Linked DNA regions of Oryza sativa Japonica Group. Each later gene encodes a partner of the first gene's protein in a complex. Links are inferred from orthologs where the notes say so. Each region holds a gene or a part of one and is shown on either strand. Other genes may lie near its edges.

What was found. The genes of interacting proteins can lie anywhere in the genome.
Region 2: mediator of RNA polymerase II transcription subunit 25 (region 1) and probable mediator of RNA polymerase II transcription subunit 26b share a complex: the UniProt entries of both Arabidopsis thaliana proteins name them as parts of the mediator complex. The link is inferred for Oryza sativa Japonica Group from reciprocal best matches to the Arabidopsis thaliana genes PFT1 and AT5G05140.

What each region holds. Positions count from the first base shown.
Region 1 is NC_089043.1:12,242,227-12,249,168, forward strand, and holds the start of mediator of RNA polymerase II transcription subunit 25, read left to right. Parts: upstream 1-3,516; 5' UTR 3,517-3,712; coding exon 3,713-3,822; intron 3,823-5,230; coding exon 5,231-5,261; intron 5,262-5,362; coding exon 5,363-5,426; intron 5,427-5,546; coding exon 5,547-5,677; intron 5,678-6,942. UniProt on the Arabidopsis thaliana protein: Component of the Mediator complex, a coactivator involved in the regulated transcription of nearly all RNA polymerase II-dependent genes.
Region 2 is NC_089039.1:20,345,509-20,352,450, reverse strand, and holds probable mediator of RNA polymerase II transcription subunit 26b, read left to right. Parts: upstream 1-2,390; 5' UTR 2,391-3,215; coding exon 3,216-3,806; intron 3,807-3,906; coding exon 3,907-3,975; intron 3,976-4,064; coding exon 4,065-4,147; intron 4,148-4,398; coding exon 4,399-4,454; intron 4,455-4,549; coding exon 4,550-4,674; intron 4,675-4,779; coding exon 4,780-4,807; intron 4,808-4,888; coding exon 4,889-5,268; intron 5,269-5,352; coding exon 5,353-5,494; intron 5,495-5,598; coding exon 5,599-5,723; 3' UTR 5,724-6,124; downstream 6,125-6,942. UniProt on the Arabidopsis thaliana protein: Component of the Mediator complex, a coactivator involved in the regulated transcription of nearly all RNA polymerase II-dependent genes.

The DNA of each region.
Region 1 (6,942 bases):
CGTTTACAAATAAATATGCATGTTTTGCTAATTACATGGGATCCGGGTATTACCTATCTGCTTGCTTGTGCCATGTTTACTTGATATCTGTTCTTTGTCAACCTTGGGTAATAAATCGACTAGCTCATATTACTTATGTGACCTAGCTAGAACTATATGCTTAGCCATGCTTAATTAGCACTAGCTCAGTTGATGGGATAATTACAGTATTAGACCTTTTTAGTATCAGAATGAGCTGCGTGCTCGAGACATCTGGCCATGCTTCATGGTCGTAATTATCCAACTAAAATGCGACTGAATGATGGGCTGTGGGTGCATGGTTTTGCTAGTCGCACCCATGGCAATTAAGGACCGGTTCGCGGGATGCCCTGGAAGAACTTATCGTACTTACCACAAGCCAGCGTGGGCAACGGCTGGACTTGTAGTGTAGCTTTCCTCTAGCCGACGCATCCAGGCAAGGGTGGGCGTGATGGAGCGGGGCGGGCCCTGCGACGGTTTCTGTCGCTTCCGGATTCACCTAGGCACGAGAGGGGACTGCCCGTTGCCCGCTGGGGACGGGGGTGAAACCTGAGGTGTGGTGTGCTTGGCTAGAGGGGGTTATGCGAAGGGTCCTGTCATGGCCTCTTTCCGGTATGTCGTGGTGGCATGTCGGCACACGGAAACGTGTTGTGGGGCTGTCTTGTGGGTATAGTTGTACACCTCTGATCAGAGTAAAACTATTCGAATAGCCATGCCCGCGGTTATGGGCGGTCGACCAGATTCACCGTGATTAGTCCCATCTTAATAAATCGACCCAATACACTGTAGTTCAGGTGGGTTGGTTGGGCCTGTTCAACGTGGTGTAGCGTTGATCAGTGGAGATTTATTGTTACTTTAATTACTCAACAGTTTTACTGTTTTGCTTAATAAAATATTTTACAACTGCCTTTATGCAAATAGCCACAAACCCCTCCTTGTATCCCCTTGCACGTCTGCATCGTTGGTGTGGCTTGCTGAGTACGGTGGTTGTACTCAGTCTTGCTATTATTCCCCCTTTTTCAGAAGTGTAGTGCTTCTGAGCTGAAGATGGAGTTAGAGGACCAAGGCTCAGACCCCAGTTGAGTTTTGCCTGTGGAGTGGAGCTGAAGCCCCGCTAGGATCGCCTTTTTCCGCTGCTGTCGTTCTGTTTAGGTGTGAGGACTAAGTGCCTCTTCCGTAAGTATTTTACGCTTTATTTACGTTTGGAACTGTATATTACTTGTCGTTTTGTGTACCCTGGCTGGTCCTGGACAGGGATTTAATACGCAAAATAGTCTGGGAATTTGGGTTAAATTTCTGGGCGTGACAGATGCCCTCCTGTACTTCAAGAAGCCACCCCTGATTACCGAGTTCCTTACAACAATCCATCATGACCATCCAACTGGGGCTAAATACGGAGGAGTACCCTCCTCAGAAAATTAACTTAGGATTATATACACGCGCGGAGGAATACCCGTACTGAGCTGTCACCATCAGCGGCCCGCTTCGCTTCCGCAACATATAACCCCATATAATGATATCTAGTAATCTAAACACCACGCTTAAATTACCAAATACTACTATAATATCATCGTCATGATAGAGTCATCGTAAATACCCACACTATTGCATCTCCCAGATAAGCTAGCATCATAATGAATATAACTTGGGTATGTAATAAATCTGGTATTCATATACTCGGAAAGTAATACAATACCAAAGTAATATAAAGAAGAATATTCTAAATAAAGTACAAGTCTTATAAAAGAAGGAAAAGCTACTAGAGCCATACCCAAATTCTTCCGAAGACTCCGAGGACTGAAGATTCTATTCTATTTCTATTCCACTATACTCTAGAAACTATATTAAACTTGATAGATGAAATGAATTTCTTGCTTGTGGTGTGTCTTGAAATGGAGAGAGTGAGCTCCTTGTATAGCCTCCCAATGACGGTTGTGACGGTTGGAATGGTCGGAAATACCCTCCAACCGTCATTGGGAGCTAATCCATACCGTCTAGCCGCAACCCTGCATCCAACGGCGCCAGGATGGGTTCGGCCGAACCAGGGGCCGACCCATTTTCGGCTAGCGGCCTCGTCTTCTGTTGCTCACTTCAGACTTGTGAATTTTGGCCCAATTGGTCATGTCATTTTTGCATTCTTGACCTATTCATTGATAGGTCTGATTCTCGACATTGTCTGATTGAATGATCACTTGTTTTGATGTCGATTCTTCTCCACTTAGTGTTCATTCTCTGCAAGAGGTTAGTAATCCTAGTGCCAGTGGAATATTTATTATTTTGACATAAATATGCATTGCAAGCATAACTAGTTCTCTTTTATTTAAGTAGTGTTGACGGACGAAACTGATCACTAACGACCGTCAACAAATATAAATGTGTTTTAACAATATCCATATAAGTATATCGTTTATTTCGTACGAGTCTTTATATGAGTTCACTGGTTGGGACTTGATGTTTCGTGCAGAGGTTGATGATATTGCAGTCATTATATTTTGAATGTTGCATTTATCTGGAACATTTTTTTAGCGAATTGAAACAATTTTTTATAAGTGGTGAAACATCATTAATTTTTTTTATATGTGAGATCTTGTTTGTAAAGATTTGAATTACAAGAAATACAACGGTGCAATCATATTATAGATTGGATTAATAATTTAAGAGAAAAAACATTTAAAGTGTGTTAAGAAAAGCAAGATTTGTATGGAGAGATGAGAGATAGGGAATTATGGAATATTGCATGTAGCTGATATGAGGCAAGGAAGTAGTTGACATACATGCTGCATGCAACAAATATGTAGGGTGCAACACACGCAGAGATGAGGCAAGGAAATACTCCCTCCGTGGTTGCTATATTCTGAGACGGATGAAGTAGTTGACATGCATGATGCATGCAACGAATATGTAGAGAGCAGCACACGCAGGAGGTGCAGGAGGGGGGCACCCGATTTTTCTCTTGAAAATCGGGCACCCGATTCTTAGTTACTCCCTCCATTCCATAATATAAGGGATTTTGAGTTTTTATTTGCATTGTTTGACCACTCATCTTATTTAAAAAAATTGTGCAAATATAAAAAACGAAAAGTTGTGCTTAAAATACTTTGAATAATAAAGTAAGTCACACAAAAAATAAATAATAATTCCAAATTTTTTTAATAAGACGAGTGGTCAAACAGTGCAAATAAAAACTCAAAATCCCTTATATTATGGGACGGAGGGAGTACCTCCTAAAAATACCCTTAGTTTAGCCGAAAGGCTACACTCAAAACTAACCTGATGTATACTAAGAAAGTAATAAATGCTCACAATTCTTCCCAACTATAGAGTACCATTATTATTACATTTACTAAACACCATAAAAGAACAATACAACTCTTTTTTACACCAAAATTTCCCCATATTCCCCTATGGCCCCACCTGTCATCCACACAAAAGCCCACCTTTCTTCTTATGGGCCTTGGGGCCCATATAAATTAGACCCCAGTACCCCACCCCTTCGCCGTCATCTCTCTCTAACCTCACGAAACCTAACAAGAAGAAGAAGAAGAGAAATTCCGGCAAGGAAGGGAGGGAGGGAGAAGTCGTTGGTGCGGGGGAGATTGATTTCGCGGGAGGGAGGGGAGCTCGAGAGGCGGTGATTCGGGGAGTCGGCAGGGTGGCGCCGGGTGCGGCGGCGGCGGGGGCGGCCGTCGGGGGGATGGCGGCGGCGGCGGCCGAGAGGCAGCTGGTGGTGGCCGTGGAGGGGACGGCGGCGCTGGGGCCGTACTGGCCCGTCACCGTGGCGGACTACGTCGAGAAGATCGTGCGGTAATGCTGCGCCCGTGCTTTCCTCCCCCCGCCGCGCCACCCTGCTTTCTTGTTACTAGTTGACTGTACGGCCGTCGCGGATTAGTGCATCTTGGATTTCTTGATGTGGAAGAATTGGACCCTTTGTTGATTGTTTAGCTGTTTATTTTGAGACGAAGGGAGTACATGGAACGCGAAGCGGTAGCTAGTTAGTTCTTGATAGTGGAAGTTAGCAGCTATCCGTGTATGTGTTTGATATACACAGTTTTTTAGTTATATTAGTCGGATATATCGTTCACTCCAAGCATTAGTAGGAGATTTGGAGATTTGTTGTTTGCTCTCACCTTCTTAATTGCAAACATTAAATGGTACTAGTTAGCTTCAATTCTGTTTCACAATGCTTATTCAAAGAGTAAGAATGCAAGCGCATCATCGATGTGTGGAAATTCGTGGTTTCTTGATGAACTGGTTGGTTGTTGGCTATATGGTGTTGTGGCACGAGATACATCTTTTTTTGCTCCTGATTCGAGGAGACTTTGTATCACTGCATATGTGCAGATCTATGACAGAATGTAGCATAATTCATCTTCTACTTTGGGTTTTATGCCTTTTCTAGTTCCTCCTTGCTCATTCAGAAGTATTTTTCTTCAGTCTAGCATATTTTAGTGTTTTTTTTTTCATGAATGATGAATGATTCCCATGAAAACCAATTTCAGTTTTTGGCTGGTGATTTTACTACTCTTCTGTACAACCAGTAATGTAATGATGGGATGTCTGTTTGGTTATGGTTATGGCTTTTCTGAAGTCCTTGTTTTCACTCTTGTTAATTAGTTGATGTTCTGGTTTCGCATGGGTGTAATTGGAATATTCATCACATGAGTCAAATTTCTTGTGTTCAAGCCTTTCAAATAAAAAAAATAATGAAAGTGGGAGCTGTTTGTATTGTTGGTCAATAATCAGTTTGCTCTGAATTATTAGGGTTTGTTTGCAGTTGCTATCCTCCTGTGCTTATTATTTAGCTTCTGTGGAAACAGTTAAGAAAAACTTCGTAGTCTGTTTGAGAAATCAAATTAATGTTAGACGAATTCTGTTAGTCAATTTAAACTGTTATTTCTCTGACAAGTGTTCTGTTTTTAGAACTGAAATAATATCTCTATTTGCAACTTGATTAAAAGAGCAGCAGTTAGCCAAACATCAAAATTTCTATAAGCTACTGTACGGAACAGGATTATCATAGTCCACCTCAACGCAAAATCCAAATGGAGCCTTTGATGTTATGTGGTGATCCACCACAGCTTCACTCTCATATACTTACTATCATGAAACTTTTAAGCTCATCTCTTGCTAGAAATTTTTGTCAATTTCTGTAGCACTTAGTAACCTTTGCATTTTTAGTACTACTATTCATGAAGCATTTCAATTTATGCAGGAGTTTTTGTGCACATGAAATGGCAGGACAGGTAATTTGCTCTCAGTATTTATCGTCGGACTTACTACTTGATCCATGTTTCCTTGACTTGTGTCAAAACTCAAAAGTGTAAATTATTATCGTGTTATGCAGAAGCTCGCAGGGACACCCCCTGAACTTGCATTAGTCGTCTTCCATACCCATGGTCCTTATAGCGGTAAAGTTTGATATCCTCCATGCCCTAAGCTTTTTATTATGATCCATTGCAATTATTTGTATTTAGTTCTATATCAACAAAACATGTAAGCTATGATAATTCGCTTTTGATTCCTTGCAGCTTTTTGTGTGCAACGGAGTGGATGGACAAAAGATATGAATGTGTTTCTTTCATGGTTATCTGGAATATCATTTAGTGGTGGAGGCTTTAGTGAAGCTGCTATTTCTGAAGGTCTTGCTGAAGCATTGATGGTATTGACATATTGGCATCGTTCAGTTCTTTTCACTTTTTGCACATAATGACTTCCTCTGGTGTTTCCTGTACTTTTTTTTTTTGGTTCAAAATGCATAAATTAGAAACTGTGGCTTACTACTTCCAAAATTTCAGTACTGCATATGGTTGCCTACTTTTGAGTTCCCGTGCAAGGTTTTAGCATTTTGTTTGGCTTGTGCAATCATGCTTCATTTGGCATATGAAATGATGTTTCTTTTTTGCCAAATGGCACATCTTTCATGTTAACATCAACAGTAGCAACCTTTAGTTCCAGGCAAGTTGGGGTAGGCTAGAGATGAAACTGATGTGCAGCCACAAAAAAACTAAGGGAAGTATAGTACTAGTAATAACAATATAGTTAAAGAAGACGTGAATTAGGTCATGATTCTGGGCATGTGGACCGCCAATTTCCATGCAACTCTATCCAAAACCATAATTCATCTCCACAGGAACGACTGGGATTTTTATGATGGCTTACCAATGTTATCGCAACATTCTTCCTTTACTCAGCGTTAGGACCAGCTATGCTGAAGCAAAGGCAGAGTTTGGTATCTTATTAACAGAGATATTTTGATTTCCTAGATGAAGGGAAATACCTCTTTTCATCTCTCACTGCACCTGAATTTGGGTCCAGTTTTGTCTAAATTAGTTGATCTACAATTTTGTTTCTCATAGTAAGCCCTGTAAACTATTAGTTGAGCCTGGACATTATGTAGAACCATGATACTTAACAATACATGTTCTACCCAACCTTTTGGATTACTTTATTTTCCAAGAATTATAGCTTGTTGTCTTGGTATTGTTATTTCCAGTATTCTCTAGAATCTGTCCTTTAATGCCCTTCTGCACAACATATGATTCATGTGAGAAAATTCTAAGGTGGTTTGCACATCCACTTATCAGCTATTGTCTCATAAAAAATGTCTTGATCTGGATATCAGCTACAGATAGCCTTACCTTAGTAAATAGAGTGTATAACTGTAATCACCATTTCATTAGGTTAATTTTTGTAAGGAAGATTTTCATTAGATCAACCCTATTAGGAAACTGGATGTCTGGGCCAGTACCCAGAATAAGCAGAGTGAAACTAGTATGATCAGAAGTTTAAATTCTATGAATGTACCTATATTAGTATGTTAATTTTCCTATGGTACTGAGTCTTCAAAAATCAAAATTTCAGTCTTCATCCCTACTATTATAAAGAGGGAATCGTCCTCCTCCACCTCCACATAAAAGCCTCTTT
Region 2 (6,942 bases), on another chromosome or scaffold:
AATAAATTTATCTCGCGGTTTACAGATGGATTCTGTAATTTGTTTTGTTACTCCCTCCGTCCCACAATATAAAGGATTTTGAGTTTTTGCTTACAATGTTTGACCACTCGTCTTATTCAAATTTTTTTTGCAAGTATAAAAAATAAAAAGTTATGCTTAAAATACCGTAGATAATAAAGTAAGTCACAAATAAAATAAATAATAATTTCAAAAAATTTTGAATAAGACGAGTGGTCAAACGTTGCAAGCAAAAACTCAAAATCCATTGTATTATGGGACAGAGGGAGTATTAGACTAGGTTTAATACTTCAAATATGTGTCCGTATATCCGATGTGATACTGTAAAAAAAAAATTCACCCAAGATGTAAACAAAGCCTAATGATCTTCTCCCTCCATATGGTCAATTTGATCATCACACAGACTGACTGACTGACACATGGTTGGCCCTTGAGCTTTCCAGCAGGCAGCCATGGCAACAAGTTTCAACCCCTCAACCAAATTCCCAAAGGCAGCAACAAATGGGTGGAAGATGTGTGACGCCCTGAACGGCCCAGGGAAAGAAAGAAACACATATTCCGTGGACAGCGAAACCAAGAAACACATAAAAATAAATCGAAGAAAGCAAGGAACACGTGTCACTCTCGAGTCGGGTATCCATCCGCTGAGCAGCGCAGCCAACGAGATGCGAGTGTCTGGGTTTTCTTGGAAACAACCGCATAAATCCGGGTGAAAAAACAAAAAAGAAAACAAACCGTGGACCATATATATCAACCGTTAGTGGGAGTAAAAGAAAGTACTTTAGGAAAAAAAGCGTTAGTAAACTTTTCTAAATGTGGCACGCTATAACTGAGTCAATTTTCTATAAGACATAACTATCACCTGATTAAATGAAACGGTTGATTACTTGTTAGGAATTTTACACTAATAAACATAGAGTACTCTACTCTACTAATGATAGTGTACACAGACCTAAAGATAAAAGGAAAATATAAAGTCCTTATCGGACACTAAACACACTTTTCTAAAGATAAAAAGGAAACTAACAAACTATTCCTAATTAATAGATAAACTGCCATGCCGCATCCTCTTTAAACTCGGTCACTTAGAGATAAGCTTCCTTTAGTAGATTGATTTCCTTAACCGAATATAGCAGGAATTCGACTATTGGTGACTTGATAACTCTCATCGGCTGATTCCGAGATGCTACAGCCGATAATGATTCTAAGCCGATGACGCCTTTGTCGATTATCAAATTTCACTGTTAATAGATAGCTCAGTTTTTTATAAATAGAAAGGAGTATTTGCCGCCTAAATATTTTCTTTGATGATACAGCGTATATTGCTAATCAATCTTGATCGCCATTTACTAATCCAAGATTTCGCTACTACATTAGCACCTTGTTTTGAAAAGGATGCTAAAAGTACTCCATTCTTTTTCTATTCAAAAAAGAAGAAGCTATACAGAGCATAAATATTTCTTTGATCCTACGGTGTACTACTGTGCTATACTATATCAAACCATCGATTGGCATTTACTAATCCAATACTATTTCCTCGCACCATGTTTCGAAAATGATGCCAAAAATAGTCCATTGGGCCTCAACAATTAATAGTACTCCTAAAGCACATTCTCCATTCCATAAAAAAACCACCCTATTACCGAAACGTGACACATTCTAATACCACAAATATATTTATATAGATACAATCCAAGTTTACTTTTTAAAATTTGAGTGGCCTACGGCGGCTACGGTTGCATGCACGTATTTTCTTGGTTCCATAAAAAAAATAACATAGTGTTGAACGTCTATTCAGATTTATAGTATTAAAATATATCATATTTCGTACTAATTTAGTCTTTTATAGAATTGAGAGAGTACTCTATTCATCTAAAAATGGACAATCCTTCGTAAGTTGAGTTTTTCTTTTGGGATGGAGGTGGGTACGTGCATACAACTGGTTCACATACTATAGACACTTATATATGAAACAAATAAGAGGATGATCCTATTATATAATAACAGTGATATTATGGTAGATGATGCTCACCTACCCAAGTTTGAAAACTAAACTTGAATTAAGTGGATATCAAACGGGAATCATTAGCCCAATAAACAAAAAACGAATGCTACTATTACCAACCAAACACTACAGGAAAGAGTAGTACTAGTCCCACTCCCACCAACAACAGTTGAGATCCTCTCCAGTACTGCATGTGCCGTACTGCTCACTAATATGTGGGCCCGAGGGGCTATAGGGCTCACATGTCAGGGAGCCTACTGCATGAGAGGACCTGCATCCCACCAACAACTCGACAGGGTCAAAGCCGAGAAACAGCCACGAGGCCGCCTCCCTCTCCAAAACCGTAGTGACCTCGCCCTGTGTGGCTGTGTCCCCAAACCCGGTAAAAAAAAGGGCCCCCCCGGAAAGTCCTAGACCGAGAAAAGCTGCGACCTCCGTTGCGCGAGAGAGAGAACGAGACGAACGGAAGGAGTTGGGAAAGGGAGACGCGAGATTTGTTGTTACCACTAGGAGGCCATGGTGGTGGTGGTGGTGTGCGTGCGGGGGAATTAGGAGGAGGAGTAGTTGTTGTTGTTTGGTAGAGTCGAGCTTGCGTAGTTCTCGTGGGCTCTCGTTTTTGCGTTGCGTGTGCCTCGCCATCCGCCGCGTCCCTATCCAACCCCCCTCCCCGCATTCCCTCTCCCCCTCGTCGTCGTCGTCTTCCTCCTCCTGCGGCGGCGACGGCACAGATAAGATTTGGTTAGGAGCTGTTTTGTTTGTTGGGTTGAAATCGTCAAGTAACGTGGACGTGGGGGTGAAGCAAAGGAAGGGAGGGGAGATTGGGTTTGGGTGGTGTGAGGATTGATTTGTTTTTTTTTTTTGGGGTTTTCTCTTCTTGATTGATTCGTTCTTGGCGTTGAGGAGAGGCAGCGGTGTTCGTTAGATTGATTTTTCGCTGTCTCGGGAGAATTTCGCTTTCCCGGTTGGGGGATTCCCTCGGTGGGGGGCATCTGATTCGCGATCGGGTTGGATTAGATTCTTTTGGTGCAACGTAATCTGATAAGGGGAAAAAGAAATTTCAAGATTGTGAGGAGGAGGAGGAGGAGGTGATCGAGAGAGGGCATCGATTCTTGGTGGTGCCAGGGGAGCCATCGGAGTCGTGGGGGTGGAGGTGGAGGTGGGGGGAGCCCGATCTCGGGTGGCCGCGGCGGCGATGGCCGACCGGCTGGATCGGTGGCGCGAGCTCCTCCGCGGGGCGGCCGGCTCCGCCGGAATCTGCGACGTGATCGAGAACGCCATCCTCGTCGCCGCCGCCGACGCGCCGCAGGAGCTCCTGCGCCGCCGCGACCGCATCTGCGAGATCCTCTTCACCGCGCCGCGCGCCCCGCCCTGCCACCACGGGTGCGGCAGCGCCGCCACCCCGACCCCGGCCACCCCCGTGGAGGAGGACAAGGGCAGCGTGCGCCGCGTCCCCGAGAAGCAGAGCAAGGTGGACAGCAGCAGCAACGGCGCCCTCGGCGGCGGCGGCGGCCGCCGCGACGACGTCGATGACGACTCTGACTCTGACTCCGACGACGAGCGCCTCCGCCGCGCCGCGGCGAGCAACTACGGTCACAACTACGATGATGACGACGAGGAGGAAGAGGAGGAGCAGGAGGCGGCGCCGGCTGAAGAGGACGAAGAACAAGAGCTGGACCCCGAGGCTGTGGAGCTTGAGGCACTCACCAACGAGATCGACGAGGAGTCACAGGTCGTCGGCGAGGTTCTCCGCATCAAGGACCTCTTCTTGCACAAGGAAGATCATGTATGATGAACTATTCCCAGCTTTCAGTTCTTCCATGAGTAAGAGTTGTGCCATTCCTCAACAGGGACTTAACATTTGATCTCAACTGTGGTTTTCGCAGTCGGATGCTACTTTGTTCGAATCACTGAGGAGGCTGCAGCTGATGCAATTGTCCGTTTCCACGCTGAAGGTACTGTGTTGGATAGCGCATATGAGCTATGCGGAGTGACGCATAGTGGTTCTGTTTGGTTTGCTAATCTCCGATGTTGTTTGTTGTAGGCTACTGAGATTGGGAGGGCTGTTAATGGGCTGCGGAAGCACAACTCGCAGCAAATTCGTCACCTTGTGCGCACTCTCATTGAGTAAGTTCAATATGCTTGCACTAAATTTCATTCTCTAGGGCTGATCTAGCTTTTAATTTAGAGAACTTGCTGAAGCAAATTGATACTCTACTGTACCTATAAGTTTCTGAAAACATGATACGAGTCTACTGATTTAGCTTCTGTATTCTCCAGTCTTTGTACTACTTGAGTGAATTATTTACCTTATTTGTAGTGTGGTTATTAACCAATTTTGGAAACATTGTTGACGTCTTAAAACATTTTTTTTTCAGAGGTTGGAAAATTTTGGTTGATGAGTGGGTCAGCACCACTAATGTTGCCCTTACAGGTAATAAAAGTTATTTTGTTTCATATCGCGTATGAGTCATCAATTTGTAAGTGAATGTTCACCTCTTAACATGTAATGGATCTTTTGATCTGTAGACAACTCCCCGGGCTCTTCAAAAACATCTGTTGTCGATGATGCTGATGATGAAGGGCTTCCTTCTCCACCTCTGGATGAAGGGGCGTTCTTTGCAACCCAGACTACTGCTATTCAACTCTCTGAGGTACTAATTTTTGTTTGTTCCTGGTATCTGGATTGTTTTGGTCCAGAACACAATTCTAACTTTGCATTGTTGTTTTTCTTTCTGCTTCATCTTCCTGACCTAAAGTTCTTTGATGAAATGGATGAAGATGGAAGTAAGTACAACAACTCAAATTACATAGTTTCCCTTTTTTTTCTGTGCACTATAATAATTCAAGTTATACATTTTATGACAGACTTGAGACATAACAATGATGGGAGCCTTGGAAATAAGAGAGAAAATTATGGCAGGAGGCCTACAAGCCATCCAGCTTTGACAAAGCAAGAGCCTCCCCGTAACATGGGAGCTGTTGAAAAAGTTCAATCCAGGAGGCCGGAATTGGCAAGGCAAGAGCCATCAATGAGGCAGGCTAACCCACAAACCCCTCAAAATTCAAGTTTGCAAGTCAAACAGCAGGCCATGCTTCACAAGCAATCTAAGCCCTTGAGTTCTGATTCTGGACCTGGGAGACCATTAAGGGCAGCTCCTCAGCAGAAGCCCTTTGTTGAGATGAAATCTAGACTGGCTCGAGAGCAGGTTGCTGTTGAAAGAAAACCTGCAGCGAGCCATGTGGATGTAAGTATATATGCTATTACTAAGGCCTAATAGTATGATAATCCTCAGAACATCATGACTTAAATATCTGAACTTTGGTTCTAGAAATCGAGGCTTCCTGCACAACCTTCAGCAGGAGTCAAGCTAGAGTCGGCAAAGCCAAAGATCTATGATGGTTTGGAAAGCAATAGTAGGCTGGAAGCAGCAAAGAGGAGGCTCCAGGAGCGCTACCAGGAAGCTGAAAATGGTTCGTCTTTCTTCTTTGTCAACACTCATTACCCTCCTTTTTTAACTTGTACAGCTCAAATATTGAGGGTTGCGCCTAATTTTCTTACTGCTCCTTCGACGCAGCAAAAAGGCAGCGCACCATACAAGTAATGGAGCTGGGCGACATACCAAAGCCTAAGCATCAAAATAGACAACCTATGATGAAGTCAAGGAATCACATTAGAAGTTGGGCAAATGGTCGGCGATAATTCTCCCGTGATTCTTTTTTCCCTCATCTGATGAATCATTACCATGCCTGGCTGGTCGGAGCGCATATGCATGCTGACTCGAAACACCTGAACTTAGTTGCCAGGGCTTAGAACAGAACTTTTTTGAACATATAAACACCTCCAATGGGTGGTTTCTCTTTGAAGACGCAAGAGCTGCTCCGGATGCAAATCCAATAAGTAACACCTCTTGCATCCGGAAGAGTTTAGTCATGTCTGGTTATTAGGAGATTGGGCATGTAGTTCGACCTGTACCGGCTGGTTACTTTCTTTCTTTTTCTTCAAAGGAAGCTGTAGATACCAGATAGAATAATCGTCAATATTCTCGTACATTCTATCTGCCCTCAACATTTTACATGATTCAGTGAAACACTCATGGCTCACACTAGACTTTTCCCTTGCAACAACTGTGGAACAAATACGCTTCTGGTGAACTGAGCTAAGGTCAGCAACACCTTCCAGTGATGGCAGTAGTGTACATACATCACTACATTTGCCAGACTGCCAAATTGATCAGCTGCTAGACGTTCAACATGTTGAAACGCTTCACTGTCAAGGCGTGAATTCAGAGTACGTTTCAATGAGAGATTTTGTTTGGCTATTGAAAAAGAGGATTGGAACGAGGGAGAAAGCGATTGGGAGATATGCGTGTGGGCGCTGAGTGGATTTGGGAGAGAGCGTGGATTCCACCGGGCGGAGTGGTTGCCCGGCCATTAGCATGAACAGCCACCCAAAACGGACACGGCCCCACACCACCCCACCCCCCCCCCCCCCCCCCGCCCAACTGAATCCCTCTTGCCTCGTTATCCATCGCTCCAAAAATTCCATGAGAAGTTCTTCATATTTATACGGTGTGTAATCTGCCACAAGATGAATGCTGAAGAAATCACCGTTGGTTCCTCGTTAAGAATCTTCACAAAATTTGATCACAAACTGGCTGACCGGATAAGATAGTTATTACTATGTAATATGACACGAAGTGATTCTGCAACCGTAGATGTGTACCACGTGGAGTTGAGGCCGACAAGTAGATCATGTCGTTGCTCAGCACATGTAGAAAAACCACTGGATTTGCGGGGTAACCGGAGCGCAACGCAAAACGCAATGCCACATTGCTACTCTCCTCTCTATCTGCTGCATCTCTCATCACGGTTCGATCGGTTTCGATTCCTTTGGATGCCCACTCGCATGTGCGTGTTGT